7 linked regions of the Mus musculus genome follow. The protein of the gene in region 1 interacts with the protein of each later gene in a biochemical or structural test. Links are inferred from orthologs where the notes say so. Each region holds a gene or a part of one and is shown in the gene's direction. Other genes may lie near its edges. The genes, in order: Rnf4, Sumo1, Ube2e1, Parp1, Sp1, Ube2w and Pml.

Region 1 (3,500 bases):
AAGGCAAGTGATTGGCCTCAGTGCCTGGACAGGACCTTCTGAGGGTACAGCTACTATGGTGGCAGTTTGTCCCTGAAGATCTCAAACAGAGGGAAAGGCTTTTAGAAGTACTAGGGTAAGTGGGTTAGGTGAAGATGGCTGAAAATGTGGCTTTTTCCTTAGAAAGGAGAAGGCCAAGGAGAAATGGGAGGAGGTTGCGCCAAGACCATGCTGACAGCTGTGTGGTGAGCAGTGATGATGAGGAGCTGTCTAGGGACAAAGATGTGTACGTGACTACCCATACTCCTCGAAGCACCAAGGATGATGGAGCTACTGGACCCAGGTAAAGAGCTCTGCTGCTGTTGTGTTGGGTGGAGGCCAGGGTATATAGATTCTGCATTTGCTATCAGGTATGTAAGCTCTTGCTCTAGAACAAGTATCTTCCAAGCAGCTAGGTAGGCATATTTGGAATACAGGGTTGGGTTCAGCTGTCTGCTCAGGATAGACCAATTGACAGACAGACAGGGCCATACATACTGACCAGGGTGTGCTTTTCGCTCATGGAGTGGTTATAAGTAGGTTGTGTTTACAGGTGCTACTAGCAAGAATGCTGGAAGCAAAAGAGGTGGGCGGGCTGGAGAGATGGCTTAGCAGTTAAGAGCACTAACTGCTCTTCCAGAGGTCCTAAGTTCAAATCTCAGCAACCACATGGTGGCTCACAACCATCTGTAATGAGATCTGATGTCTTCTTCTGGTGTGTTTGAAAACAGCTACAGTGTATTTATATATAATAAATCTTTAAAAAAAAAAAAAAAAAGAGGTGGGCAAGCCTACTTGTCCACATCTTCTAGACCTGTTCTTGCTTATTCCCCTTTTCAATGGCTTTTGGAGCCCAGCCCTTCAAGCAGTTAATTTCTCTTCAAGTTTTTTGGGTGCCTGTCCTAACTCAACAAAAATGAGAGACTTGAGAAGATATGACTGCGTATGTGAGGTTGCTTTACAGGGTTTAATCAAGTATTTTGAGTTTACTTAAAAACTGATGCAAAGCACTGTGATTTTAGGCCCTCAGGTACCGTCAGTTGTCCTATCTGTATGGATGGATACTCTGAGGTAAGTAACCTAGTTGTTTCTCCTGTTGGTTTTGCCCTACTTTACTCAAAAGTACTTGGAGAAAGTGTGTGTCAAAGTGGATTGTGCCAGTTGGTGGTGGGCCCTGTACATTTTATCTTTAACCCTTGTGCAAATCGATGTTTTCCAACCCAGCCCTATCTAGAAGCTGCTGATTTTTTTCTGAGGTTCCCCATAGCCACTTTGTACTGCTGCACCTGGGGAAGTCCTGTCTGTCACCTGTCACACAGACAGCGTTCAAAACTCTTGAGTGTACTGCTTTTTCTGATACAACCCAGGCCCTTCTTTGTTTCACTTGTCTCTTTGGTGATGGGTGGGTTCGGGTCTTTGTAGAAAAAGGGATACTTTAAGGCTGTTCTTTTAATGTCTTCTAGATTGTGCAGAATGGGCGTCTCATTGTTTCTACAGAATGTGGCCACGTCTTCTGTAGCCAGTGCCTCCGTGATTCCCTTAAGAATGCTAACACTTGCCCAACTTGTAGGAAAAAGATCAACCATAAGCGGTACCACCCCATTTATATATGAAATGTTCACAACTGCTCAGGATAGACCAATGGACAGACAGCCAGGCTGGCCTTTTCTGCATGGTATCTGCCTCCAGTTTCCTGAGCTCAAAAAGACTTTCAAAAATCAATGTCTGATGTAAACTGGTCTTTTGTTTTCCAACCCCTTAGATCCTTTTGTTATCTCGTTTGATGCTATGGAGCACGGTCCAGGGATCCTCCTAGATCAGCTCAGCATCACTGCCCCTTTGGGTGGTCTGAGCCCAGAGTAGGGAAAAAAGGAGTCGGGCATATTGGGGTTGAGCATCATGGCTCCAGCCTCTTTATGGAGCTTACATGTTGGCCAAGTAGTTTCCCTGTTGGGAAAGTTTGCCCCAGCTCTTGTGTGTGCAGAACCTTCCCAAGGCACCTGTCAGTTAGCTGTTCTGCCTGCCAGACAGTGACCTGGCCAGACAGCCCAAATAGCCCAAGGATACCAGTGCATGAGCTGCCCACGAAAAGCCACGAAAAGGTGGACTTTTAGTTTCCTTCCCACGAGAGCAGAGGTGACCTATGATTCCGCCTGAAACTCATCATTGGTGTGCAGTGTTTTCTGCAAATCCAGTGACTCTGCAGGACGATCCTGTTCCCTAAGAATGAGAAAGTGCAATAAAACCCGTTCTTCACCTGCTCTTCAGCAATCTGGAAGCTGTAGCACTGCTGGTATCCTCAGCCCAGTGTCGCCTATGGGAGCAGTGCTCATCCCACCCCATGTCTGTTCACCAGCTGTTCTCAGGAACCCTACCCATGCTCCAAAGTTCTTTTACTGGCACAGAACATTGAAGGCTAATAGGACAAGTGTTTGAGTGTCCTCTCTTTAATGCTAAGATGGGTCCTGTGTTGTCTACAGTGCCCTCCAACCCTCAGTTTTTCAGTTCCCACTGCCTAATGTCTGCTCAAGCATAGTATAATAGGAGGTGGTAGCAGTAGCAATGGCCTTATCAGCTGTTCACTTACATGCTTTTGCCCAAGTCACCGTTGCCCATTTGTCAGAGGTGTTGCCCTACTCAACCTCCACTGCCCTAGCTTTTCCCACACCCCTTGAATAGATAGGTATTTCCAAAGCTGCTTGCTCTTCTAGCCAGTTGAGCTTTGATCCTCTGGACTTTTGACTGCTCAGTGGGTTTTGGTCAGCAAAGCATGGTGCCTCTTCCAGTGGGACCACATAACAATGTCTGCTCCACCGTATATGTGTGGGAGACTCTGGTGCTCACGGAGACAGGTGGAAAATTGCCCCTGGGGACACCAGGCACAGGGCGGCTTGTAGAGGATAGGCCTTGAATGCCAGCCTGCCTCCACCTCCACACTACTTCCTCAGAGGGCTTCAAGCCAAACCAATAGCCTTTTTGTGTGAAACATCTTTGAGGTGGGAAAGGGACCACTGGAGCTTTGCTAGCAATAACTGACTTTCAGTGTAATGTTCTGAAGGAGCAGGGACTCAGCACAGAATTCACTTTAAATGGAGCTGAAGGAGTGGCCCTCCTCTATGTGAAAAGAAAATAGTTTTATTCTTCATTCTGACTTTCTAGCTGTTTGACTTCAGTTAGTTTGAATGAGAGTAATAGGTTTTTTTTTTCTACATGGACTCAGAGGGTAAGAGCATTAGCTCTCATCATTGTGATGTGTGTGCTCTCCTCTCCCCCTTGGATGTCACAGCCATTGATTTCTTTGTGGGCCTCATGGACTTGGTCTTGTTAGTCTAATGAAAGCCAGACTTCAAAGAGACAAGGCAACCATGCAGCCAGTTCACCAGTAAATGTGGTAACACCCACTTAAAAATTTGTTTTCTCCTCAAGGACGGTGTATGAAGTTGATCATAAAAGTTCTATTACTTTATCCTAAATTAAATTGA
Region 2 (4,129 bases), on another chromosome or scaffold:
CTAAATTCAATTCCCAACAACCACATGAAGGCTTGCAACCATCTGCAACATCTACAGTGTACTCATATACATAAAATAAATAAATAAATCTTAAAAAAAAAACCCTAAAACAGTCTTACATAAACACCGTTGAAACATTTTAATTTTGTATATGCAGTGAAATAGGGATTTAAATTCTTTCTCCTTTCGCATGTGAATGTTCAGTATTTTCATTAGTAATTATATTGTACCTACTAATTTTTAATTTTGTATGGGTGTTTTTGTCTGAATGTGTTTATGAACCGCATTCAGGCTTTGGCTTGGTGCTGAAAAAAGTATCTGATTCTTGGGACTAGAGTTACAGGCAGTTTTGAATGCATGCATGGGTGCTGGGACTCAGACTTGAGTCCTCTGGAAGAGTAGCCAGTGCTCTTTGACTACTGGGTCATTTATAGTTGGCTCATTACTATTTACAGAAAAGATTATTTTACTAATGTCTTGTTCTGTGAAGGGTTTTTGATTTAAGTTTTCATTTTTCCCCCTTTACTTATTATAACCTTAATCCTCCTTGAATGCTTGTGCAAGGTCACTGTATTCAAAGGAAGCAGTTTAGGTCTTTCTATGACACAAGGCAACTAGTTTATGCGTTGGAAGGCGCTCCTGCCTACAACTTCAAAACTTTCAGTAGCATTTTAGTTGTCTGTAGCCACCAAGACTTTGTTCTAGCTGGGGGTGTGGTGGCACTTGGGAGGCAGAGGCAAGAGGATCTCTACGAGTTGGAGGCCAGTCTGGTTGACATTGCAATGTTCTATAATAGCCAAGGCTATTAGTGAGACCCTGCCTCAAAACACAAGAACAAAAGATGTGTCCTGAAGGGTCGTCTTTTTGTGCCCCCTCATCTCCCCCGCCCCCAACAGGGTTCTATGTCCTGTCCTGGAACTCACTTTGTAGATGAAGATGGCCACGAACTCACAGAGATCCGGTAGCCTCTGCCTCTATCACCCGGAGTCACGAATGTGGCAACAGCAAGCATGAGGGGCCTATAAAAATACTATACGGGTAATTCACTATATTCAGTGAGGGTTGGTCCGGGCCTCAGAAGCGCGCAAGTCGTCCCACCGGGAGGAGCCTAAGCAGTCAGTTTGACCCCAGACATTCGGCCTGCAGGCAAAGCGCTGGTCTCCCTGAGGGCTGCGGCAGCGGGCCTGATTCTCCCTCCCTCCGAAGTCCTAGCAGTTCTCTTGCTCCAGGCAAGTAGTTTACAACCTGGAGGATTTTAGCCCCCGGCCTTCCTTACGGCGTTTTCCCGCTTCCTTTTCCCGTCTTCGCTAACTCGCCTCTGCGCGCAGCGGAAGTGACGCAAGACGTAGAGGAAGTCCCTGCAGCCGCGGTGTTGTGCTGTAGAGAAGGGACGGATTTGTAAACCTCAGAGTGAGGTTCTGCCTGCCGGAGGCCGCAGTGGTGCGGAGACCCCCGGGTGAATCCACGTCACCATGTCTGACCAGGTACCGGGCCGGGGCCTTAGGGCTCAGGGCCGTCGGCCGCGGGCTGGGGCCCTGGACTGAGGCGCGGGGGAGGGGGCGGCTGGAGAAGGGGGCTGCCCGTGGGGAGGGGGCCGCGAGGGACGCGGGGCGCCTGGCGGAGTCGGGCCAGGCCGCCTGGGACCCCGGGGCTCTGGGTTCCACGCGCCCTCCGCGCCCCTCTCCGAGGCCCCTACCCCCGCGCCACCCGGCGCCGGGGCTCTCTCGACGGCGCCCAGGTTTCTCGCGGGCTCGCAGGGGGCCCAGGCCCGCTCCCTTGTCCCCGAGAGCAAGCTGAGGGGAAAACGACCGTTTCCCTTCGGACGACGGATGGCAGAAACCAGGCCCTAGGCCCAGTTATGTAACGGGAGGGAAATCCCCGACTGGGAGGCTAGGTGGCCCTGAAAAGCAGCTCGACTCCACTTTGGGTTCTTGGTCCCGGAGAGTGGGGGGCGGCCGGGGAGCCGTGTCTGAGGTGACTGGGAGCCCAGAGGACGCTGCTTTTCCGTTGTGTTTGCCTGGAGGGTCCGTCCATCTCTGCACACCTCAGTCTTTTTTTTTTTTTTTTCCTTCCGGGGGTGCGGAACGGTCCGCTCTTTCGCTGTACTTTCCATTTCTTACTCGGGATTGGTCCATCAACTCTCCAGTTCTCAGAGCGCTCAGAATAACCGAGAAACAGCAAACTGTGTATGGAGTGCCACCACCAACAAGCCATTTCGTCTGGGCTTTAACCAGCAGATGCTTGGCACTTTAAAAAAAAATATAGCACGTTTTTTGTTCTTTGATAATCAGATGACGCATTTAGATTATATGCACCCCCAAACCTCTCTTCCAGAAGTTTCTGAACTAATTTTCGAAGAAATAGAGAAAAAAAAAGTTATCCGTGTTGTACAATTGCAGAATATTTGCAGAAAGCTGTCAATTAGTAGTAAAACAGTGTGTCTCGGTTTTGGAATCAAGGATTTGCATGGTATTTGCCTTCAAATAGGAGTGACTCCTTGCCACCTAAATTTTTCTTCATCCTATTTTAGTTACTACCTTTGTGGCTAGTTTTTATATACATAAGGTTTTGGTCTGACTTTGCTTTGGTTTGCTCAGATGACTTAATTTTCAGAGTATTTTTTTTTTAACTTTTTCTTCTTTTGTGATAATTATTCAGTAAACTTTTTCATTCAACTTCACAATGTAGTTGGACTTTTTTAAAAAAAAAATTTGTTGTTGTTGTTTGAGACACGGATTTTCTGTGTAGCCTTGGCTTTCTAGGAACACTCTGTAGACCAGGCTGGCCTCCAATTTATAGAGATCGGCCTGTTTCTGTCTCCTGAGTGCTGGGATAAAAGGCTTGTGCCACCACAGACTGGCCAGGGTGGTTCTATTTTTATAGCCTATCTACACTGTAGACTAATTGTGGCATGGATTTACTTATTAATAATCTGAATTAATCCTCTTTTGGGATAGAAATGACTTTATGAATAATTTGTTTATGACAGTTGTTTACTTAGTTACCAGCTCAGAAAGATCAGCTGTAAATGCTTAAGTCCTGGAACTCTGTAGACCAGGCTGGCCTTGAACTCAGAAATCCCCCACTACCTCCCAAGTGCTGGGATTAAAGGCGTTGCCACCACGCCTGGCCTTTGTTTTTTCTTTTCTTTCTTTCTTTTTTTTTTTTTTTTTTTTCTTTTTTTTTTGGGTTAATGCTTAAGTTTCATCAGCCTTCTATTTTGGAAGAGCTAGAAAGCATGTTAGCCTGAAGAGAGGGCAACACACAGAAAGAGTTCTAAGTTTTAGGATTAGTTTTGCTCTAGTTTGAACTCACATTATATAAGGATATGGAGAAAGAAAGGAGGACCCAAGGGCACACACAGGGTTTCAGGGGATCGCAAAGTCACACTGTTGCTTGCTGTAGCACTCACCTCACTGGTCACCGGGGTTATTAGGTGTTGGACCTAGGGCCTCCCACATGTGCTTGCCAGGCAAGTGCTACAGCCTCATTTTTTCTTTTACTTTGTTTCACTAAGTTGCCTAGGTTGGACTGTAGCACAGCTTGCCTTTGAACTTGAACCTGGACTTCTCTCAGCCTTGCAGAGTAGCTGGGATTACAGAGTTATACTGTCACGCCTAGATGGTGTGTGTGTATGTATGTGTGTGTGTCTGTTTTTCTCATTCATGGATATTCAGTGAAGTTTTTAAGAAACATGACAGAAAAATGGAGCAAATCTTTTTTGTAGCCTTACAGCTTCTCACAGTTTCTTCTGTGTCTATCTCCTGAGTGCTGGGATTAAAGATGTCTACCACCACACCTGGCAAAACAAGTCTTTTTAATTGAGCTACACATTAAAGCAATTTGCATATGAAATAGTGCTGCTACTCTTAGAAATTTTGTCTTTAAAAAAAGTAATAAAAATGTATGCTAACGTTTTTTAGGGGTTATTTATTGATTCAAGTTAAGGGTTTCTCTGTAGCCTTAGTTGTCCTGGAACTTGCTCTATAGATCAGCTTGTCCTCAGATCTGCCGGCCTCTTACTCCCAGAATGTATATACCACCATGGCTCAGTTGATAGGTTTTTATTTTTTTTAATTTATTGTATATATGAGTACATTGTAGCTGTGTTCAGACACAACAGAAGAAG
Region 3 (4,202 bases), on another chromosome or scaffold:
GTGGATATGCTGTGAGCTTTCTTTATATCATGTGTGTGTGGTAACTGAAGCCACTGTTGCCATGGGAAGCAATGTCAATTTGAATGAGGTAATTTAAAGTGGACCATGGAAATTCGAGTGCTGTTGTCTGCTCAGTACACAAGATCTCTGTGAACTTGGATGGCAGGGGTCTGTTCCCTTCAGGGTAAACGGCAAACTGGTAAGAAACTAAGTCCTAATTTAATGGTGGAATTAAAAAAAATAAATTTCGGTACAGTGCCACACAAGGAACAATTTAGTGGCATTGTTGTGTGATTATCCTAAAAATATTATTTGAATAGCATCATATTGGAGTAAAAAGAAAGTAGGGTGCTTTCTAGAACTTTTTTTCCCCATTACTAAGACTCAGACATATCTAATTTAAGAATTCCAAATCCTGAGGCAGGCGGATTTCTGAGTTCGAGGAGAGCCTGGTCTACAAAGTGAGTTCCAGGACAGCCAGGGCAAGTCCTGTCAAAATCATTGGCTCAAGGTTTATTTTCAGTGATCTTATAATCCCAAGCCCGGTCGTAGTTACCTGTCCCGAACCCCAATTGCATACATTAAAAAAAAAAAAGTCCACATCCTTTTCAATAACAAGTGAAAGGGGAAGGAGGGTGGTATCTAGTATAAAATTGCACATGCCTGGTGTCCTGAACAGAATCCCAGTCTGGGTTTTTTCTCACAGGCGTGACCTCTGCTCCAAGCACGTAATTGCCAGAGGGAGGAACAAGTGTCATCAGCTCAAAGGAAAAACCTGTTAGGGGTCTTTTCCTTTCCTTTCCTTTCCTTTCCTTTCCTTTCCTTTCCTTTCCTTTCCTTTCCTTTCCTTTTTCCTTCTCTTTCCTTTCCTTTTTCCTTCCCTTTCCTTTTTCCTTTCCTTTTCCCCCTTTCCTTTCCTTTCCTTTCCTTTCCTTTCCTTTCGTTTCTCCTTTCCTCTTTTCTTTTCCTTTCCTTTCTCCTTTCCTCTTTTCCTTTCCTTTCTCCTTTTCTCTCCTTTTCTCTCCTCTTCTCTTCTCTTCTCTTCTCTTCTCTTCTCTTCTCTTCTCTTCTCTTCTCTTCTCTTCTCTTCTTTTCTTCCATTCTTTCTTTTCAAACGAATCACTTTTGGGGAGGAGTCAAAGTCCTCGCCAGGAGAGTACCATCTTTTCCCCACACCGGCCCCCTCACTCCCCAGCCTTTTCCCAAAGCCCTCCTGGGAAGAACTTCCCCTGGTCACCCCGGGCTCCACCTGCCCCAGTGGCCCCCAATCCCGCCCGGTTGCCTCGGCTCCGCCCGGCGCGGCGTCCCCAGGCCAAGCCGGGGTCGCTCGGGGCTCCCGGGCCGCGGCCCCCAGGTGCGGCGGGGGAGGGGCGCGGGGCGGGGCGGAGAGGAGGAGTGGCGCGGAGCGTGTGCGGCCGGGGAAGCCATTGCCTGGTTAATAGTTGCTGTTGCTGCACTTCCGCTTCTCTCCCAGTGAGAGCGAGACACGAGTGGCCAGGCCCAGTCGCAGCCGCAGCAGCAGCCGCGGCGGCGGCACGGAGCAGCCAGACACAAAGAGAGGTGCGGGGGCCCCTCAGGGCGGGCGGGCCGCGGGGCCTGGGGCCGCGGGGCCGGGGGACGGGCGGCACCGCCGGGCCGCGGGCAGCAGGGCCGGGCGACCGGGATGGCGTGGCGGGCCCGGGCGGCGGGGGCCGCGCGAACTGTCAGAGCGGCCCGGTCCCCGCGGGGACCCGCCCGCCCGGGGCGCATTGTGCGCGTCGGCCTGCGAGCGCAGCCCCGCGTGGCCCGGCCTGGCCAGGAGCCGTGTCCCCGCGGCCCACGCGGCCCACGCTCGGCTTGCTCACCCACTCTCGCTGCTCGGCTCGTCCCGACCTCGCCAAACTCGAGCGGACGCCGGGAGGCCTGGGGGACCGCGGCGGCGGCTCCCGGCCCTCCCCGGGCCGCCCCCGCGCGATCGTGGCCCCCGTGTCTCTTCGGCCGGTGCGGCGGTGGGCCCCGAGCCTCTGCAGGCAGCGGGGGCGGCCCGGCCCGCGCCCTCCTGACAGCGGAGTTCCTTCCCTCTTTGCAGCGCCTGCATGGTCTGTGTTTCTGTTTTGTTTCCTCCCCCTGCAGGGGCCGTTCGCGGGGTGGGGTGGGGGGTTCGCTATGTCGGATGACGATTCGAGGGCCAGCACCAGCTCCTCGTCATCTTCGTCCTCCAACCAGCAGACCGAGAAAGAAGGCAGCACCCCCAAGAAGAAGGAGAGTAAAGTCAGCATGAGCAAAAATTCGAAGCTTCTCTCCACCAGCGCTAAGAGGTATCCCACTCCTTTCTCCACAGGCATCCGAGCTTCCCAGTGGCCTCGTGCTGCATGTCAGGGAGGGAGGCTTCAACGACGTTCTCGTGAGTTCTCAGGCAGGAAAATGGGGCATGGGAGTCCCACCTGTTTTCTCTACTGCTCGCTGCTTCTGGTTTTGTTAGTGCCCTCGTCCATATGCAGGAGTTGTGGTTGGCCTCGTCCGTTTCTTGTTGAAGTTTCAAGAATCCTCATTACTTTTATGAGTGACTCCCAATGTGATTTCAGAGTCTTCATCCTAGTAATCACGAATCTCTGACTTCCCGGAGGCTGTCATCATACTTCATTATTAAGAGTACCTTCCTGGGCAACTCTGTTAAAACTAGTTCTGACCATCTTTCTTCCTCTTCACCTGTTGCAGGGGTGGTGTTTTCTGAATAGGGTTTTCTCCATACATCGCTTAAGGAATAACTAACTCTCATTAGCGGTTAAAAGAATGTCATGTTTTCTGGCAGAATTTGAAGAACCTTTGCCTGTTTGGAGAGTTAAGGGAGATGAAAGAATCAGTGAATAACTGTAAAATTATTTCAGTTATTTTTGGATTTTTTTTTTCTTTTCTGTTTAAAAACTTCAGTTTGACACTTTTCAGAAAGACTTGTTTTACTAGACAAGGTCTCTTTTGGCCCAAGCTGGCCTTGAACTTAGCACTTCTATCTCAGCCTCTTGATTGTTACAGAAGTGAGCCACTTAGTTCACCCAGCGATAATCTCTCTCTTGTGTAAAAAAAACCAGGTGGATAATTTACCTCTGTCAACCTTAAGTCACATTCTCTGATCCTGTGTTCCTTAAAATAATCTCTAGTAGATACCTGGGAGCCTGCCTCTCCTCTCCTTTCATACCCCCTTTTTTTGTTGAGATGGTTGGCCATAGTAAGGAACAGAAACTCGGCTGCTGGGGAATGGCATTCTTTAAAGAATTTTAAATGAAATGGAAGGTCTAAATGGCTTCGGGTCTCTCTGCTGAGTAGTGAGCCTGGAACTCAAAGATTGTCAGTTTGTTCTGTTGTTTTCCCTGAACTGAAATTCAGAAACTTGGTATGCTGTCTTAGTGAGCTAACTGGACTGATAGAGTAACTTCAGGTCATTTTAAATGGTTGCTGTTGAGGTCTGGAGAGATGGTTGATGCTTTGGTAAAACTGTTATCAGTTTCAGTGGTCTGATTATATCTCAGTCTCTCCAGGGTCTTTGATGAACCCCTGTGAATCTCCCAGAACCTAGATTCTATCCTTCTTGCTCAGGATGGCCTTTCTTGATCAACCCCGGCCTTGAGCTCTCTGTTCTACTTTTGACCTGTCCTGCCCCAGTGCAGGACATTAGCTGTGATGTCACTCCTGCCCCAGTGCAGGACATTAGCTGTGATGTCACTCCTGCCCCAGTGCAGGACATTAGCTGTGATGTCACTCCTGCCCCAGTGCAGGACATTAGCTGTGATGTCACTCCTGCCCCAGTGCAGGACATTAGCTGTGATGTCACTCCTGCCCCAGTGCAGGACATTAGCTGTGATGTCACTGGGGCTTTTACGTTGTGCTAGACATAAGGAGAAAATGGACAGGTATACAAAGTAGTTTTCTTTTTGTCAGTATAGTACAAATAAATAGATTTTCCCATAGACACAGCTTGTGTATGCTTAAGGAACTTAGAAACTTAGTTCTGGGCATAGTAGTACAGGCCTTTTGTCAGCTCAGCCCTTGGAAACAGAAACAGACAGATAGATGTCCTGTGAGTTCAAAGTGAGTTCCATGAGAGTCTGTCTCATGAACAAAATGCCAAACAAAAACATGTAAAACTATTTGATAGCTTGGATAGTAGTGTACTGGCCTAGCAGGCTTGAAACATCATCAAGAATGGTAAGCCCAGGAGTAATGGT
Region 4 (3,500 bases), on another chromosome or scaffold:
TACTTGTCTAAGTATAGGTATGTAGGTAGTCATTTAAGATGTGTAAGCAAGGTCTTTATTAGCATAGCAGGTCATGTATCAGTCTCATGGAGTGTGAGTGCTGGGGCCTAAGGGTACCTCACAGTCTGTGATGGTGTAAAACTCAGAATGTTTTGAGAGCTTCAAGCTGGCTTCATGTGCCTTTGTTTGGACTCAAGGCCCTAGGTTAGCTGGTCCTTGTCCTGCCTTGTTATTCCCTAGATACCTCATGATTTTCCCTACAGGGCCAGATGCGCCTGTCCAAGAAGATGGTGGATCCAGAGAAGCCACAGCTGGGTATGATTGACCGCTGGTACCATCCAACTTGCTTTGTCAAGAAGCGGGACGAGCTGGGCTTCCGGCCTGAGTACAGTGCCAGTCAGCTCAAGGGCTTTAGCCTCCTCTCTGCAGAAGACAAAGAAGCTCTGAAGAAGCAGCTCCCGGCCATCAAGAATGAAGGGTAGGTGGGATGTGGTTAGAATGTACAGTTCTAGGGGAGCCTGTGGATTCCATTCCTCTGATAATGATGATCAGAAAGAGAGGAGCTCTGAGGCTATAGGAGCAGAGGGCATCTGCTGCTCCAGTACCCACCCACCAGCTCGCCGACCATGACATCTTCCCGGGCTTCTGAACCTCTCCCGACTCCTGCACCCAGGCGTTAGTACAGCAGACTGCCACTTTCTCATACAAGGCCACCCTTGTGGCCATCCAAGCTTCCTTGCTCTGGTGATGGCTGTGCTTCCAAGATCTGCATTTGTGTTCCTTTAACGTTGCCTTAGTCACGCAGCAGAGGTGTCTCTGTGTCTGCATCTCTGGGAGAATCATGACTGTTCACAAAAAGATGAACAGCGGGAAGGGCCTGGAATCAGAACAGATGGGCCCACATGTGGAATCGGCATCTAGGATGGGAAGGGTCTCAGTCTTATTAATGAGCATGCTGAGCCTTGTGGAACTGTACCATGCTCATCAGCGACACCCATGCCACTGTCACCAAGCAGCTTCTTGCACTGTTTGTGGTCCTAACACAGGTTCATAGAGCAGCACTGGTGGCTTTGGAATGTGAAGTGAGCAAGTCAGGCCAGTGGGTGAGGGTGCCCTCGAACTGTCACAGCACAGGGTGCTGGGATTCTCCGGCTGTCTTTATTTATGACGTGATGCTGGAGAGGTGGAACATGCCCAGCTCTGTGCCTGATCTCATTATCGCCATAGTCCCACAAGTTCTGCTGGTCCCTAGCAGGTGGCTTTAGAAAGTACCAGGGTGAACTCAGGCCTCGTGGAGATCTGGGGAGCAGCTCCCTGTCTCACTCCAGGCTCAGTTCTTACAGTTGTGTTTGGCTTTTCCACAATTCCCTGTCACTCTGCGCCAGAGATGTGGGGTTTAGCATGAAGTGTGACCTGAGCCCTTGGTCTGTCCTGGTCGTCCTGGACACTAGGGTGAACTCCAGGCCCCTCCTTATTGGCAGAAAAGGTCCTGAAGGGCGTGGCCTCTCCTGTCTGCCTGGCTGCAGGTAGCACTTGTACCTAAGAGGGCAGGTGGGCAGCTAAAATGGCTAAAGTGACATGTTACCTGGTTGCATTGAGCATCGGTCTTGTGGGTTCTTATAAAGTCCTGCATTTCTTTCAGAAAGAGAAAAGGTGACGAGGTGGATGGAACAGATGAAGTGGCCAAAAAGAAATCTAAGAAAGGGAAGGACAAGGATAGTAGTAAGCTGGAGAAGGCCCTCAAGGTGAGTCCTCGGCTCTGTGACAGACGCCCGCCCGCCGACCCTGCTCACCGAGACCAGTGCACACTCATCACTGAGAGAGAGAGAGGTCTGCTATTTCCATGAGCCCTGTGCTCACAGACCTTCTGGCCTCCCACTGTGTGCCCTACCATGGGGAGTAGTAATAAGGATGTTGGTATTGAGAGCCCAGCACTGGGAGTGGAAAGCAGGGAGTGAGCTTGTAGGTGCCTCAGTCAGTGGAGTTAAAGTCTTTCCTTGGTGTCGGTATGGCCAGCGCTCTCCTTTCCATCTTGGGAGGAGCAGCCTGCTGCTCAACCCTCCTGGCCTGCTGTCCCAAGGAGCGTGGAGGCTCACCCTGCCATACCTCCTGGCAGATAGTTGTGAGAATGAATGAGATGCTACATAACACCAGCAAAAAGTAGGCACTTTGTAGACATTGAAATCAAGATTTTAAAGTCCCAGTTCTAGAAGAGGTCGCATATATACCTGCTTGAGCTTAAGTGAGGGAAATCTACAAGTGGGTATTGGGAAAGATAATGGGGACCAGGCATTTCCAGTCACTTCTGTCTCTTGAAACAGGTTTCTGAGGGGGTGACACCAGGACCCATGCAATAAGGGATCCAGTCTTACTTACAAGTGGTCTCCTTCATACTTTGCAAATGTATTCTGAGAGGATTGCCTGGCTTTATTGTAATTGTAGGCTTTTCCATCCTCATCCAAATTCCCAAAATAACAATTCTGCGATTAGATTACTTATGAATAAATGCCTAGGCCAAAAGCTTCAGCTAGTTCCCCTACTTTGTATCTTATTACCCCATTTATTCTAAGTCCTGCCATATGGCTAGTTACCTCTTCTTAGGTTCATCAGACCATCTCCATCAGCTAATCCCCTTTCTGCACCTAACTATCCCAGCATCCTCTCCTCCCACTGAAACTCCCACCTTCTATTCCTGCCTGAGCTAATAGGCCAACAGCTTTTTCTATTGACAGGTGATGCCATACAGTGCACAAGAGATTCTCTGTGCTTTGTTTTGATTGTACAGGGGTTTGCCTGAGTGTGGGGGGTGTAAACCTGAGGGTGGAATTGGTCATACTAGCCTTGGAGAAACAGCCAGCCCAGCCCCATCAAGGGTATGCAGAAGAAGGAAGGCTCACTGATGGGCCTGGCACTGGCGGTAGAGCCTGGCCAGGAAGAACACTGTCTACCTAGTCTAGTAACCTGAGTTGAGGTTTCAAAGTAAGTCAATCATATATACAAATTTTATGTGAATGAGTGTTTTATTTACCTCTGTATATGTTTATGTACCACATGCTTGCCTGATGCTGGAAGAGGTCAGAAAAGGGCATCCAGGTACCTGGGCCAAGTTAGGGATGGTGCTGTAAGCCTCCATGTGGATGATGGAGTCAAACTCAGGTCATCAGGCCAGTAGCAAGTGGCTTTACCCATTGAGCCATTTTGCTAGCCCTGATTAACTCGTTTACAGTCCAGTAAAGACTGAGTGAGGCAAGAGAATTTCTATGAATTTGAGGGTAGCCTGGGCTACATAGTGAACGTCAGGCCAGCCAGGGTTCCTGAGTGAGATTCTGTCTTACTCCAGTCTCCCCCTAAAAGTTACCTCTTGGACTTCCTAAAGTGTATAACCCAGACCTTTTATTATCCCAAAAGGAGGAGGCCCACACTCCCTGCCTCAATGGCAATGAAGTCGCTCCTCTTTGTGTAATGTCGCAGTGCCCAGGGATGGCCCCAAGATCAAGGCA
Region 5 (4,166 bases), on another chromosome or scaffold:
AGGAGCATCCAGCCCGTAAAGTAGGACACATTAAGTGATTAACTGTATTAGTTCCAAGTACTAAACGTGGTGACACCAGTCAGTGACAAAGTTTAAATGAGGAGAAAGAAGGCGAAATGGAGGCCAGAGATTGAGGTGCCTAAGGCAAAATCTTTAACCTTTGTGATTGCAAAAGGAAGTAACTAGGTTAGCGTGCTTTCTACTAAGAGGGAAAATGGAAGTAGTTTATGAGAGCTTGGCTTCACGAAGTTCCCCAGCGTGCGTTACTCTGAAAGCTGAGTTGGTTTAGCAGGTCTGGGGCAGCTTAAGAAAATGGCGCTTGCTACATCTTCCCGAAAGACTTCCATATTGGTCAGCTCAGTCGACTTGGGTTTTCGCGTGCCGTCACCAAGCTGTCGTCCCGCCCGCCGCCGCAGGGCTTCCACCCACGGCCAGGGGGAGCCGCCCGCCCATCCCGGCAGGGGTGACATTCGAGGGGTGCTGTGTAGGAGCGGGGAAGGGACAACCCGAACAGTCTCGGGCGACGCGACACTCTCGCCCTCACGCGTCTCGACTCTGACACTTGTGGAGGGCTCCACTCAAGCGCACACCCTAACGAGGGAAGGAAGCCTCCCGAGGAGGGCCAACATGGCGACCAACTCCTTTTGGCACAGCCCGGTTCCCTCCTCAGGATGGGCGGCCCTGTAACGACCATTGGCCAAAGCTAGAGGCGGTGCCATGCTGCCTTCGCTGCCTCATTGGCTTGAGTATCGGAGGAGGAAGCCTGTTCTCCTCTCCCCATTCCAAGTTCCAGCCTCCACCTTCTCCTCGGCGCGTAATTGGCTGTTCGTTCACGTCAATACGCGTCCTGTTCCGGCTCTTTTCAGTTATCGTCCAATCAGAACTTTCTTAACTGCCCGCCTGAATTCTGATTGGTTTAGGAAGCTTGCTCCTATCCCATTCCGGCCTATTTCTTACTCTTCCCCCTACACGGACTTTGCCCAGGCATGCCCAGGATTCTGGTTGGTCGTTGTCCTGTCTTTCTTACTTAAGCTCTTCCTATCCCTACCGCTCACGGAGCCCGCCTGGAGGTTGACTGGTTTCTCTGCAAGTCCATCGTCATCTCATCCCGCCCACCACCACTTCCTGAGTTTCTAATTGGTTGCTAAAACTGAGAGGGCGGCCTTTCTGGGCGGAAACCAAGTACGCAACTTGCTCTTACACGCCTCAGCGAGAGAGCGAGTCCTACCATTGGGTAGGCAGCCCGCCTTTCCTCTGCAAGGCCCTCCTTTCACCCTCCCTCATTGGGCGGGGCAGTAGATAAGGGGCGGGGATTAGGCCGGGCTTGTGGTGCGCTGCTCCCTCCTCCTTACCCCCCCCTCCCTGTCCGGTCCGGGTTCGCTTGCCTCGTCAGCGTCCGCGTTTTTCCCGGCCCCCCCCAACCCCCCCGTACAGGACCCCCTTGAGCTCGCCCCTCAGCTGCCACCATGAGCGGTAAGGATGAGTCCACTCCGAGCCTAGGGGTGGGAGGGGAGTGAGGGGGCGCGCGCGAGGACCGACCGGGCGGTCCCCGCTGTGAGGGGGGGCGGGCGGGAGGCGGCGGCGGCGGCCTTGGTCCCGCCCGGGGCGGAGGGAAGGGAGGGAGAAGGGGCAGTGGCGGGGCCTCGGAGGAGGAGGGGGATGGGCTACCCGCCCCGGGGGAGGGGGCAGCGTGGCCTCGCCCGCCCCCTGCCCGCCCCGGCCACGAGGGACGGGCCTTACCCCCCACTACCCGGCCGGCCGCCTGAGGCTCCTCCCGTCGGGGGCTGGCGCCGCGGGGGCGGCCCGACCAGTGCAGGCCCCGCCTGGGCCAACCGCCTCCCCGGTCCGCCCGCCCTCCGGTCGCAGCCTGCCCCGGGCCCTCCCCCGCACCCCCGTAAATTTCCCTTCCCCCATCCGACCCGCCCTTGCCACGCCTCTATCCCCGAAACCGCCCCTTCCTTCTTTGGACCGCCTCCTCAGCCCCAAACCTGGGTTCTAATCCCTAGACCCTTACCTGTCCTCTCAGATGTTTCCTCACCTTCTCTTAGGATTTACTCTTTCTCAGTCCCTTCCTGTTATTGTTTACACTAGATCTTTCTTCATCTCTTATAGTCCTAATTTTAGCACACTTTCCATCCACCCACATGTTGGGTCTCCTTTTCCTTCCAGGATGCATTTTTTTTTTTTTTCTTTTTTGAGATAGGTTCTATGTGGTATTCGTAGTAACTCGAAGTTACTATTGCAGCCCTCAGACTTTTAGCTGTCTAGGTGCCTCTTCCTCTTGAGTGCTGGGATTAAGAGTGCTATCAACCCTAAGGAGCAACTCTTTATTTCTGAGACACTGAAATTCCAAATTCCCTTTCTCAAAAGGGCTATTTGTATTGGGATCAGTTCTTACTCTGTAGGCCTGGAAGACCTAGAACTGGTGAACCACCTGGCTCATCCTTCCAAGTCTTGGGATTATAGGTGTGAGTCACCATGCCTAGCTTCCAAAGCAATTTTTGAGTCATTTCTGGGGTTAATTTGTGCATAGGAAAATAGTGGCCTGTCTTGGGCACCATTAAGCTATGTGTCTATGGCTTTGGCATCCCAATTTACTATGTAGCTGAGGATTTCTTTGAACTTTTGCCTCCACTTCCAAATTCTGGGATTTTAGGCTTACCACCATATTTAGACCTATCTGGCTAAGATCTTTTTAAAAACTGTTCTGTCAGTCATTGCTGACGGTCAAATCCTTAATTTTAAATCTTATGTTGTTTTTAACACACCCCCCCCTACACACACACATACACTTAATTTATTTCTTTTGTAATTATTTTTAGACCAAGATCACTCCATGGATGAAGTGACAGCTGTGGTGAAGATTGAAAAAGATGTTGGTGGCAATAATGGGGGTAGCGGCAATGGTGGCGGTGCCGCCTTTTCTCAGACTCGAAGCAGCAGCACAGGCAGTAGCAGCAGCAGTGGTGGCGGAGGAGGGCAGGTGAGTGATCAAGGATGGGGAATGTGTTGAAAGGGTATAAATATTCTTAGAAACTTCCTTAACCAAAAATTCTGGGAAGAAAAATACAGTAGGGAAGTACACTCAGAAAGATAGGTGATCTAGAGGGTCCCCAGATACGAAAGTTGGAACAGTATACAGAAAGTGAGCATTTTGTTTCTGGTTTTTGCTCTATATTCCTGCATTGTTGCTGTTTTGTCTGTTGAATACTGCCCCCTAGGCCAGCTATTGGGTGCCACTAACTCCTTTCCTCTCTTCTGGCCAGGAATCCCAGCCATCTCCTTTGGCTCTGCTGGCAGCAACCTGCAGCAGAATTGAGTCACCCAATGAGAACAGCAACAACTCCCAGGGTCCGAGTCAGTCAGGGGGCACAGGTGAACTTGACCTCACAGCCGCACAACTTTCACAGGGTGCCAATGGCTGGCAGATCATCTCTTCCTCCTCTGGGGCTACCCCTACCTCAAAGGAACAGAGTGGCAACAGTACCAATGGCAGCGAGTCTTCCAAGAACCGCACAGTCTCTGGTGGGCAGTATGTTGTGGCTGCTACCCCCAACTTACAGAACCAGCAAGTTCTGACAGGTCTCCCTGGAGTAATGCCTAATATTCAGTATCAAGTAATCCCACAGTTCCAGACTGTTGATGGGCAGCAGCTGCAGTTTGCTGCCACTGGGGCCCAAGTGCAGCAGGATGGTTCTGGTCAAATACAGATCATACCAGGTGCAAACCAACAGATCATCCCAAATAGAGGAAGTGGGGGCAACATTATTGCTGCTATGCCAAATCTACTCCAGCAGGCTGTCCCCCTTCAAGGCCTTGCTAATAATGTGCTCTCAGGACAGACTCAGTATGTGACCAATGTACCAGTGGCCCTGAATGGGAACATCACCTTGCTACCTGTCAACAGCGTTTCTGCAGCTACCCTGACTCCCAGCTCTCAGGCAGGCACTATCAGCAGCTCTGGATCCCAGGAGAGCAGCTCACAGCCTGTCACCTCAGGGACTGCCATCAGTTCTGCCAGCTTGGTGTCATCACAAGCTAGTTCCAGCTCCTTTTTTACCAATGCCAATAGTTATTCAACAACTACTACCACCAGCAACATGGGAATTATGAACTTTACCAGCAGTGGCTCATCAGGGACTAGTTCTCAAGGCCAGACGCCCCAG
Region 6 (4,052 bases), on another chromosome or scaffold:
AAAACTGGCAGATTTAGACATCTTTTCCTCTCTTGAACACATTTCCTTACGGATGTTCTCAGAGGAACATCGTGCTCTAGCTTAAGTGTGAGAGTGATAACCTACATCACCATTATATTTATATTTTAGAGAAATGTCTAAAAATGAAGCCAAGTCAATAAAAATAAAGATTTAAACTTTCATCCGGGTAAAGTAAAAGCCTTCTACTCAACATGCCATCCTCTCTGATTCCTTTAGAGACAGGACATGAGGTGCAAGCTTTTGGCTTCCATTTTTCGTTTGGTATTTAAGTAAACGACATCTTTGGTTCCGGAGGAGCTTTAAAAATGTGACTTCTGATAAATGCTGGCAGAACTGGTGCATTCCTAGAATAAATTCTGTATGCTCAGCGATTTCTACTCAAGCTCACTCATAGGTCGTCTGATCATGCAACTGCCCACCACAGAATAGGGTGAAGAGAAATCTAGGCATGGCAGAAGGTTTAAGTATTAAGTATTAAGTATTAAATTACGTAAACTATATTCATTATATTGAGATTTCACGGCTAGAGTCAAATTGTTAATCAAAAGTAAGACTGATGTAACAACGACTCTTATGGTATACCTGGACTTTACAATTTAGAGGGTTAGGGAACTAGAAAATTGCACACAAAAGGGAACTCCATTATTCACCCTCCTTCCCTTTCCAGCACGTTTCAAATCCAATTGTTCTTGCTTTTAAGATCACTGCTCTCAGTTTTCATTCTGTCCTATAGGGAAACCTGTGACTCTCTGCCCCTCAAAGTAGAAGCTTCCTAGGTCTGCAAATACCAGAAAGCATCTCCAGGCGAAGTTGTATCTGCCTCAGGAGCGAAAACACGGTAGGTGTAAAAAAGACATATGAAGGGGGTGGGCTGTAAATCTTACACTTGTAGCTGGAAAAACAAAATGAGATCCCCTCCCTGCCAAATGCCCGGACAGCATTGTGACCTCGGCATAACGCTTCAGTCCGACCTGGAGCAGCGCCTCCGCCAGCACTGAGGGTGGGCCCGCGTATAAATTGGCTGGGATGCAAGGTACCTAGGGAGCCCGGCCTGGCCCCGCCCCGCCCCGCCCCGGGCACCCGCGCGCTAGCCAATCGGACACGCGGGCCCCTTCCCATCGGCGACTCCACCCCCGTGCCCGGGATGTTGGGCCCCCGCGGCGTGACGCGAGCACGGCGGCTCCGCCCCCTGCGTCTCGGGCCTCGCTGGCCTTGGGGGGATGGTTTCATCATGGCGTCAATGCAGGTGAGCGGAGCTGCTGCAGCGGGGAGGGCGAGGGGGCCATCGAGACGAGGTGAGCGTCTGCGCGGGGTCGGCGTCCGAGACCTCTGGGCCTGGCTCCGGGCGACCTTCCCTGACCTCGGGGCGTCGGGGGATCGCCTGGCGGCGAGCCGAGCGGGGGTGTCGGCCGGTGGCCGCGGACAGTAGCGGCCGCGAAGTTGTGGCATAAAGGCGGCTTAGGGGGAAGAAAGGGCGAAGTTCGTCGTGCGCTTCGCGGTGGGGGCTCCGCTCCGCGCCCCTACGCGAGGATGCCTGCCGCTCGGCTCCCTGGCCACCGCCGGGATGCTTTTCCCCTCGCGCTCCCCAGCGGGGTGGAAACAGCTGTGCCCGCCGCCGTCACCCGCGGTCGGGGCGGCCGGAGACCGGCAGAGCCCCTCGCCGAGGACGGCCGCCTGCCCACGGCGCTCCGCGGCCTCTGCCCGGCCTCCCACGCGCAGCCTCGGATCGCCGGACTCATGCTCGTTCTTCTCTGATCTTCATCCGGTGCCCGGTGGGTGCCTCCTTCTATCAGCCCGCACTCTGGGCATTCCCTGGCAGCCCACGTCTCTTCTTCGAAGCCGCCCTTCGTCCCTGTCCCCAGCGTCCTGTGCTACCACAACGTGCGAGCTCGTGGGCCTGCTCCTCGGCCTCGATAGAAACTCGCCCTCTTAAATTTTTTTTTCTTGCGATGCCCCACCCTTGCGGGATTGGTAAGGCCGTGGCTCCTTTGCCTTTCTTTCCCAGACCTTTAAAACCTTAGTTTGGTAGGAGACGCCTGTTAACCTGTGCTCTGTCAGACTTGAAGGTGTTTTTTGTAGCTTCCAACTTAATGTATTCCCCCCCCCCCTTGCAAATCCAATAAAAGAAAAAATTTTCAGGCAAAGATGGCAACCACAATTGTAGTTTCTAGAGATTGCATTATCTATAGCCGGCATTTAATTTGCAGATAGGGCTAGCGGTGTTAAAGCACATAGGAAGAGAGAGTAGAACTCTTGTAGCGTGTCAGCGGAACGCTTTTTGGAGTTTTAACATCATCCTCGAGTAACATCCGCATTTTCCTTAGAATTTTTGGTTTTTGTTTCTAGAAGAATAAGCAAGATCTCGTTGTTGGCGCTTCTCTGCTAGCAATGGTTTGCATTCTTACGCATTTCCCTCCTTCCCCTGTATCTTCCTTCAATCAGCTTTCCTTATGGTATTCTTTTTGCATTTGCTTGTACTTTTGGCCTTTCCTGCAGTAGCATTCTTAGGTGAAGAGGTGTCACGAAATGGTGCAGTGAAACAAGAACAATTTCAGGAAACGTTATACTTTACTAGTCTCCCCAGAGACGTTAGAGAAGTTTCATCATTTGAGGCCAAAAAAGGAACTGTGGAACATCAGTTGACAGCAGATGGGCTATATGATTGCTTTAAGATTTTTATCTGTATTAAGACATTATTTGTTACTAACACTTGACGGTGATCTGTCTTAAGATACAGGCATTATTTAAGACTAAAAATGAAGATTAAAATCCACACTGGGATTGTATCTGGCATGAGAGCTGGTTAGCTTTTATACTTAGTTTTTGGAAAAGGCAGATTTGTTTGTAAGAGATTGCTATTTTTGGAATTTACTTTGTCTTCAGCAGTGGGGGAAAGTGCTTTTTATGCCTGTTTCTATGCCTCAGGCAGTGCTGTGGAAGAGTAGCAGCGTCTTTCTTTTGTTGGATTAGAGTGGGAACGGATCCTTTCTGTTCTAAAGTTAAATCTTGACCTTTTATATGTATCTCTTTTAAAGTATCTGATCATTTTTCCTGGAAATAGTAGCATTTTGACACAGATTTATTTCTTATTTCTTAATTGTGTATGTTATCTCTGGGTGGGTATGTGGGTATGAAAGTACCTGTGTAGGCCACACCTGCTCTGGATCTGAGTTACAGGTGCTTGCCAGGTATTGGCTATGGGTGCTGGGAATCAAACCAGGGTCTTCTCAAGAGTAGTTCTTTCTCTTAACTTCTGAACTGGCTCTCAGCTCAATAGCAGAATCACTCTTTGGTGTGGTTTTCATTTGGTATCTTTGCTCAAAGTTTATTTCCTGACCATCTTTACAGCAGAAGTTAACTCTTTTCAAAATAACTTAACATAACACTATAAGTGATCAAATGTGTTCATTAATTCATCTTACCCTAGGGGATATTGTTTTTGCTAAAGAAAAGGTTACTTAAGCTGCTGTATTTTAAAAACATGCATACATATGTAATGTGGGGTTTGATTACTTGGTAACAATGAAATAATTTTTATATATAGTAAAACCAAGTAAGGAAAGTCTTCACTTCTAACTAGAGAATGTGGACTTTGAGATTATAATTACCTTTATGTTTTTGTTTTGGCTTTTCTGGAACTAGACCAGGCTGACCCTAAACTCTCAGGTCCACTTGCCTCTGCCTCCTGAGTGCTGGATGAGATTAAAGGTGTGCGCCACTACTGCCCAGCTTGCTTTTATGTGTTTTATCTTCATTCATTGAAACCGGTTCTTGCTGGGTAGCCTATGCTTACCTCACATTTGCGCTCTTCCTGCCTGGGTCTCCTGAGTCCTGGGCTTGCAGGTTGTTCCACTGTGTCTGACTTTGCTGTCATGCATCCTGCCAGTGCTTCTCAACTTTCTTCCATTCACACTAAGTACAGTAAGATAGATGACGATGTTGGCGGCTGGAAGAGCCCAGCCCGGAAGCTGGCTAGGAAGGTGAGGGATACAGGGTTTTGTTCTCATGCCCATGTGCTGTGGGGAAGCTGC
Region 7 (4,226 bases), on another chromosome or scaffold:
ACATCACATAATTTAAAAAATTGAGGAAAGAAAACACAAATATTTGTACACAATATAACTGATCTTGGCCTAATTTTTTAAAATATTTACTCAAAATATTTATATGAGTACACTGTAGCTGTTTTCAGACACACCAGAAGAGGGAATCAGATTCTATTACAGATGCTTGTGAGCCACCATGTGGCTGCTGGGAATTGAACTCAGGACCTCAGGAAGAACAGTCAGTGCTCTTAACCGCTGAGCCATCTCTCCAGCCCTTGATGGGCTAATTTTAAAGGCCAAGGGATACTGGTCAGCTTAGATGTATGGCCTCCACAGTCTCCAGGATGTTGGGTCTCCCTTTAGAACCCATCTCACCACAACTCTAAGTTTACAAAAGCAGGAACCTGTTACCATCCCTTTTAATCAGTTTCACATAGGAACAGAGAATAGGCACATAGGGGCCAGAAAAGTGGGTGGGAACAGACTGAAGTTAGAAGCCAAAGGCACTGGCCAATGAGAGTGTCAGCAGGTGTGTGTTTTCCTCACCCACTAGTTTCTGGATTGCTTTTTCTTGGTCAAAAAGCTAACTTTGTATCTCTTGTTTTCTTCACCACTGCTGGCCAGCTCTCCCCTTGCCTCCCTGTTGTCTACCTCTGTACGATGCACAGTCATCAGACCCATTCAACGCTGTTCTGTCACCACGGTCCTTCCACTGACTCAGAACTAACTCTGTGTCCCACAGTTACTTCTCATAGGCCACCTGCCTCAAGGTCATTCAAGAGACGCAGCTGACACGCTGTAAGAAACCCTTCACCAACTCTCAGATCATATGTAGAATCGGTCCATTTCTCACCGTATGATTCATCTCATCTTCTCTGGTATCACTTCGCAGGAGCCCCATCTTAAATCTGAAAATGGCCCTGACTACTTCCCAAACTGGCTCTCCTGTTTCAGACCTCCACTCCTTTCCAAGTGTTTGTCTCTCTTTAAAATGTCTGAGCAGCTCTGAATTCCTGGTCATTTTCTATCTCATGCTCCATTCTCAGCTGAGGGATGCCTTTCCAGGCAAACCCATCCCAGTACTGAGTCGAAGTCTCCACTAGGGTGCACTTGGGAGGCTCTCTCAAAGAGGAGTTTATTTCTCTACCTGGCTTTTAACTAGAAAGACATATAGCTGTGGAATGAGTCCAATAGCTCACAGACAGGGAAAAGCCTGTCAGCTCTGTTTCTCTCCTGGTGTGCATGCTGCGTACGTGGCCGGATCTTTCCTTGTTCTGCTAATGAGCCATGCCCGCATGCCGGGCTTGTTTACTTGCTTGTTTGGTTAACCTTTCTGACTCTACCAGAGTTACTTCCATAGCTCCCTAGTCTTTCTCTTAACTTTGGAAGGGAGATTATAGAACCAGCCTCTCCGCCCCTAGACCCGCCCAGCCCTGTCTCACTTCCTCTCGGGAGGCGGGCTCTCCTCGGGCAATCTCTCGCTCAGTTTTCTGGCTCAGATCTGAGACCCATTTCCCGCCTTCACAGACCTAATCAAGAAATGGAAACTGAACCAGTTTCCGTGCAGAAGGTACCTGCACCCCCTGGATCTCCCTGTCGACAACAGGACTCTGCCCTGACCCCCACGCCCACCATGCCTCCCCCAGAGGAACCCTCCGAAGACTATGAACACAGCCAAAGCCCTGCAGAGGTACTACTGGGTTAGAAGGTGTAGGGCTATTAGGTTTTTTTATTCGTTTACTTTGGTCGAGGAGTTGAGGATGAAGAAGGTCGTTATAGAGAAGTAAGTTAATGGGTTAGTGTCCTAAAGAGACACCAAGGTCCTGACCCTCCTGGCTGGGCAGAGGTAGAACTGATAGCCTAGAGTAAAATAGGAACAGGGGCCCGGCGGTGTGGGGCACACCTCTAATCCCAACACTTGGGAGGCAGAGGCAGGTGGATTTCTGAGTTCAAGGCCAGCCTGGTCTCTACAGAGTGAGTTCCAGGACAGCCAGGGCTACACAGAGAAACCCTGTCTAAAAAAAAAAAAAAAAAAACCGGGATGAGTTGGATTGTAACTGGGGATAGTTGGATTGTAACTCCTACTCCCTGAAGCCTTGCCTGAAGCGCCTACCTCAGATGAAAGACTATAGTCCTGTGGAAGGCCTGGCCAGGAGTCTTATTTGCTCTGGCCTGGAGCTAAAGGCATGTCCCAGACTTGGCAAAACTATAGTCGCCCTCCCTGACCCCCACACCAACACTTCCCGTTTTTCAGCTGTGGTTGCACATCCCAGGAGCAATAGTGCTTGGGATGGTAGGGCTGGAGGGAGGATGACAAGTTCCAGGCCAGCCTAGGCCACAAAGAGAGTTCAAGACCGCTGAGGGCATCACAGCAAGACCTGTTTCAAAACAAAACAAACAAACAGACAGAACCTGGCTCAGACCAAAGTGCCTGCTAAGACCAACAGGATTCACACAGCTGCTTTCTCTTTTGATTTTCATCAATTTATTTTATGTGTATGAGGTTTAGGGATTTATTTTATTTTATCTTTTGGAACACAGGGTCTCACTCTGTAGCCTTGGCCGGGCTGGAGCTTGCTTTGTAAGCCAGGCTGGTCTCAAATTCATAGAAACCACCTGCCTGCCTTCTGAGCTCTGGGATTAATGTATGCGCCACCAAGCTCATTTTCCTAAGGAAGCCTAGTTCATGGCCTTCCTGGGAGTATTGCCTCAACCTTCCATACTCACCCTGGAAGGAACTACCTCCATCCCATTATTCTTCACTCATTTTTCCCTTCACAAAAAACACAAATAAGGTCACATTGCCCTAACTTTTTATTATTAGCATTATATAGCTAAGGATTAAAAATACTAGTTGACATTTATGGGTACTTCTCTCTCTCTCTCAATCTCTCTCTCTTTTTTTTTTTTTTTTTGGTTTTTCGAGACAGGGTTTCTCTGTATAGCCCTGGCTGTCCTGGAACTCACTTTGTGAACCAGGCTGGCCTCGAAATCGCCTGCCTCTGCCTCCTGAGTGCTGGGATTAGACTTATGGGTATTTCTCATGTGCCAGGCACCATGGTATTGAGCTCTTTGAACAGTAGCTCCACCTTCTATACCTATGAACTAACTATTATTATTTTATATGACATGACTGGAATTACACAATATTTCTAATTTTATGGCAGGCATATTATTTCACCATGTCTTCAAGGTTCATCCAGGTTGTTGAATGTATCAGGATTTCATTCCTCTTTCAGGGTGAATACTATTTTGTTACATTTGCAGACACATTTTGTTCATGCGTTCATGTGCTAAGGACACTTGGGTCACTGTGACTTTTGTGGGGGTGTTGCTAGGCACATTAGTATATAATTATATGCTTGGATATTTTTTCCAGTTCTTTTGAGTATATATATGGAAAGTGGAAGCTTGGTCATACGGTAGTTTAAGTCTAACTTTTTGAGGGTCATCCTGCCAATTGTGTTAAGCACTTTATATGAAGTTGATACTTTTCCAAACTTGAGTCCCTTAAATGCAAAGATGTATCTATCCTATCTTGTATCTCAGGACCTACTAGTGAGTCTAATGATAAGCAGATGGGTGCCCGGTAAATTGTGCAGTGAGAGCTGCAAGGCTCGAAGTAAATGAGGAACTGGGGTGCCGATAAGCCAGGACATGATCCAATGACTCCCAGGAATGGAATGTGAGGTCCTACCCTCTCCAATCTCCAGCTGAAGGGATGGGCGGCCAGTGGAGGGGACAAGACGTCTGGGCTTTCTGTAGGCCTCACTTCTCTCCTTGGTTCACTAGCAAGCCATACAGGAGGAATTTCAGTTTCTGCGCTGCCCGAGCTGCCAGGCCCAAGCCAAGTGCCCCAAACTGCTGCCTTGCCTGCACACGCTGTGCTCCGGATGCCTGGAGGCGCCTGGCCTGCAGTGCCCCATCTGCAAGGCTCCTGGGCAGGCCGATGCTAATGGGGAGGCCCTGGATAACGTGTTCTTCGAGAGCCTGCAGCGGCGCCTGGCGGTGTTCCGGCAGATCGTGGATGCTCAGGCTGCGTGCACCCGCTGCAAAGGCTTGGCCGACTTCTGGTGTTTCGAGTGTGAACAGCTCATTTGCAGCAAGTGCTTCGAAGCACACCAGTGGTACCTCAAGCATGAGGCCCGGCCCCTGGCTGATCTCCGCGACAATTCAGTGAGCAGCTTCCTCGACAGTACGCGCAAGTCCAATATCTTCTGCTCCAATACCAACCACCGCAACCC

Evidence for each region.
Region 2: the proteins of Rnf4 (region 1) and Sumo1 form a complex in vitro, tested with the Homo sapiens proteins (5 studies listed by BioGRID, with this or other methods). The link is inferred for Mus musculus from reciprocal best matches to the Homo sapiens genes RNF4 and SUMO1.
Region 3: the proteins of Rnf4 (region 1) and Ube2e1 form a complex in vitro, tested with the Homo sapiens proteins (2 studies listed by BioGRID, with this or other methods). The link is inferred for Mus musculus from reciprocal best matches to the Homo sapiens genes RNF4 and UBE2E1.
Region 4: the proteins of Rnf4 (region 1) and Parp1 form a complex in vitro, tested with the Homo sapiens proteins (2 studies listed by BioGRID and IntAct, with this or other methods). The link is inferred for Mus musculus from reciprocal best matches to the Homo sapiens genes RNF4 and PARP1.
Region 5: the proteins of Rnf4 (region 1) and Sp1 form a complex in vitro, tested with the Homo sapiens proteins (2 studies listed by BioGRID, with this or other methods). The link is inferred for Mus musculus from reciprocal best matches to the Homo sapiens genes RNF4 and SP1.
Region 6: the proteins of Rnf4 (region 1) and Ube2w form a complex in vitro, tested with the Homo sapiens proteins (2 studies listed by BioGRID). The link is inferred for Mus musculus from reciprocal best matches to the Homo sapiens genes RNF4 and UBE2W.
Region 7: of the proteins of Rnf4 (region 1) and Pml, one has a biochemical effect on the other in vitro, tested with the Homo sapiens proteins (3 studies listed by BioGRID, with this or other methods). The link is inferred for Mus musculus from reciprocal best matches to the Homo sapiens genes RNF4 and PML.

What each region holds. Positions count from the first base shown.
Region 1 is NC_000071.6:34,349,750-34,353,249, forward strand, and holds part of Rnf4 (E3 ubiquitin-protein ligase RNF4), read left to right. Parts: intron 1-162; coding exon 163-322; intron 323-1,040; coding exon 1,041-1,089; intron 1,090-1,481; coding exon 1,482-1,631; 3' UTR 1,632-3,500. UniProt on the Homo sapiens protein: E3 ubiquitin-protein ligase which binds polysumoylated chains covalently attached to proteins and mediates 'Lys-6'-, 'Lys-11'-, 'Lys-48'- and 'Lys-63'-linked polyubiquitination of those substrates and their subsequent targeting to the proteasome for degradation.
Region 2 is NC_000067.6:59,668,035-59,672,163, reverse strand, and holds the start of Sumo1 (small ubiquitin-related modifier 1), read left to right. Parts: upstream 1-1,329; 5' UTR 1,330-1,472; coding exon 1,473-1,484; intron 1,485-4,129. UniProt on the Homo sapiens protein: Ubiquitin-like protein that can be covalently attached to proteins as a monomer or a lysine-linked polymer.
Region 3 is NC_000080.6:18,329,045-18,333,246, reverse strand, and holds the start of Ube2e1 (ubiquitin-conjugating enzyme E2 E1), read left to right. Parts: upstream 1-1,402; 5' UTR 1,403-1,560; intron 1,561-2,112; 5' UTR 2,113-2,145; coding exon 2,146-2,297; intron 2,298-2,320; exon of another isoform or gene 2,321-2,351; coding exon of another isoform or gene 2,352-2,383; intron 2,384-4,202. UniProt on the Homo sapiens protein: Accepts ubiquitin from the E1 complex and catalyzes its covalent attachment to other proteins. Catalyzes the covalent attachment of ISG15 to other proteins. Mediates the selective degradation of short-lived and abnormal proteins.
Region 4 is NC_000067.6:180,578,891-180,582,390, forward strand, and holds part of Parp1 (poly [ADP-ribose] polymerase 1), read left to right. Parts: intron 1-263; coding exon 264-478; intron 479-1,642; coding exon 1,643-1,745; intron 1,746-3,500. UniProt on the Homo sapiens protein: Poly-ADP-ribosyltransferase that mediates poly-ADP-ribosylation of proteins and plays a key role in DNA repair.
Region 5 is NC_000081.6:102,404,950-102,409,115, forward strand, and holds the start of Sp1 (transcription factor Sp1), read left to right. Parts: upstream 1-1,366; 5' UTR 1,367-1,466; coding exon 1,467-1,473; intron 1,474-2,324; exon of another isoform or gene 2,325-2,466; intron 2,467-2,822; coding exon 2,823-2,983; intron 2,984-3,266; coding exon 3,267-4,166. UniProt on the Homo sapiens protein: Transcription factor that can activate or repress transcription in response to physiological and pathological stimuli.
Region 6 is NC_000067.6:16,616,452-16,620,503, reverse strand, and holds the start of Ube2w (ubiquitin-conjugating enzyme E2 W), read left to right. Parts: upstream 1-1,252; coding exon 1,253-1,267; intron 1,268-4,052. UniProt on the Homo sapiens protein: Accepts ubiquitin from the E1 complex and catalyzes its covalent attachment to other proteins.
Region 7 is NC_000075.6:58,246,987-58,251,212, reverse strand, and holds the start of Pml (protein PML), read left to right. Parts: upstream 1-1,426; 5' UTR 1,427-1,522; coding exon 1,523-1,672; intron 1,673-3,774; coding exon 3,775-4,226.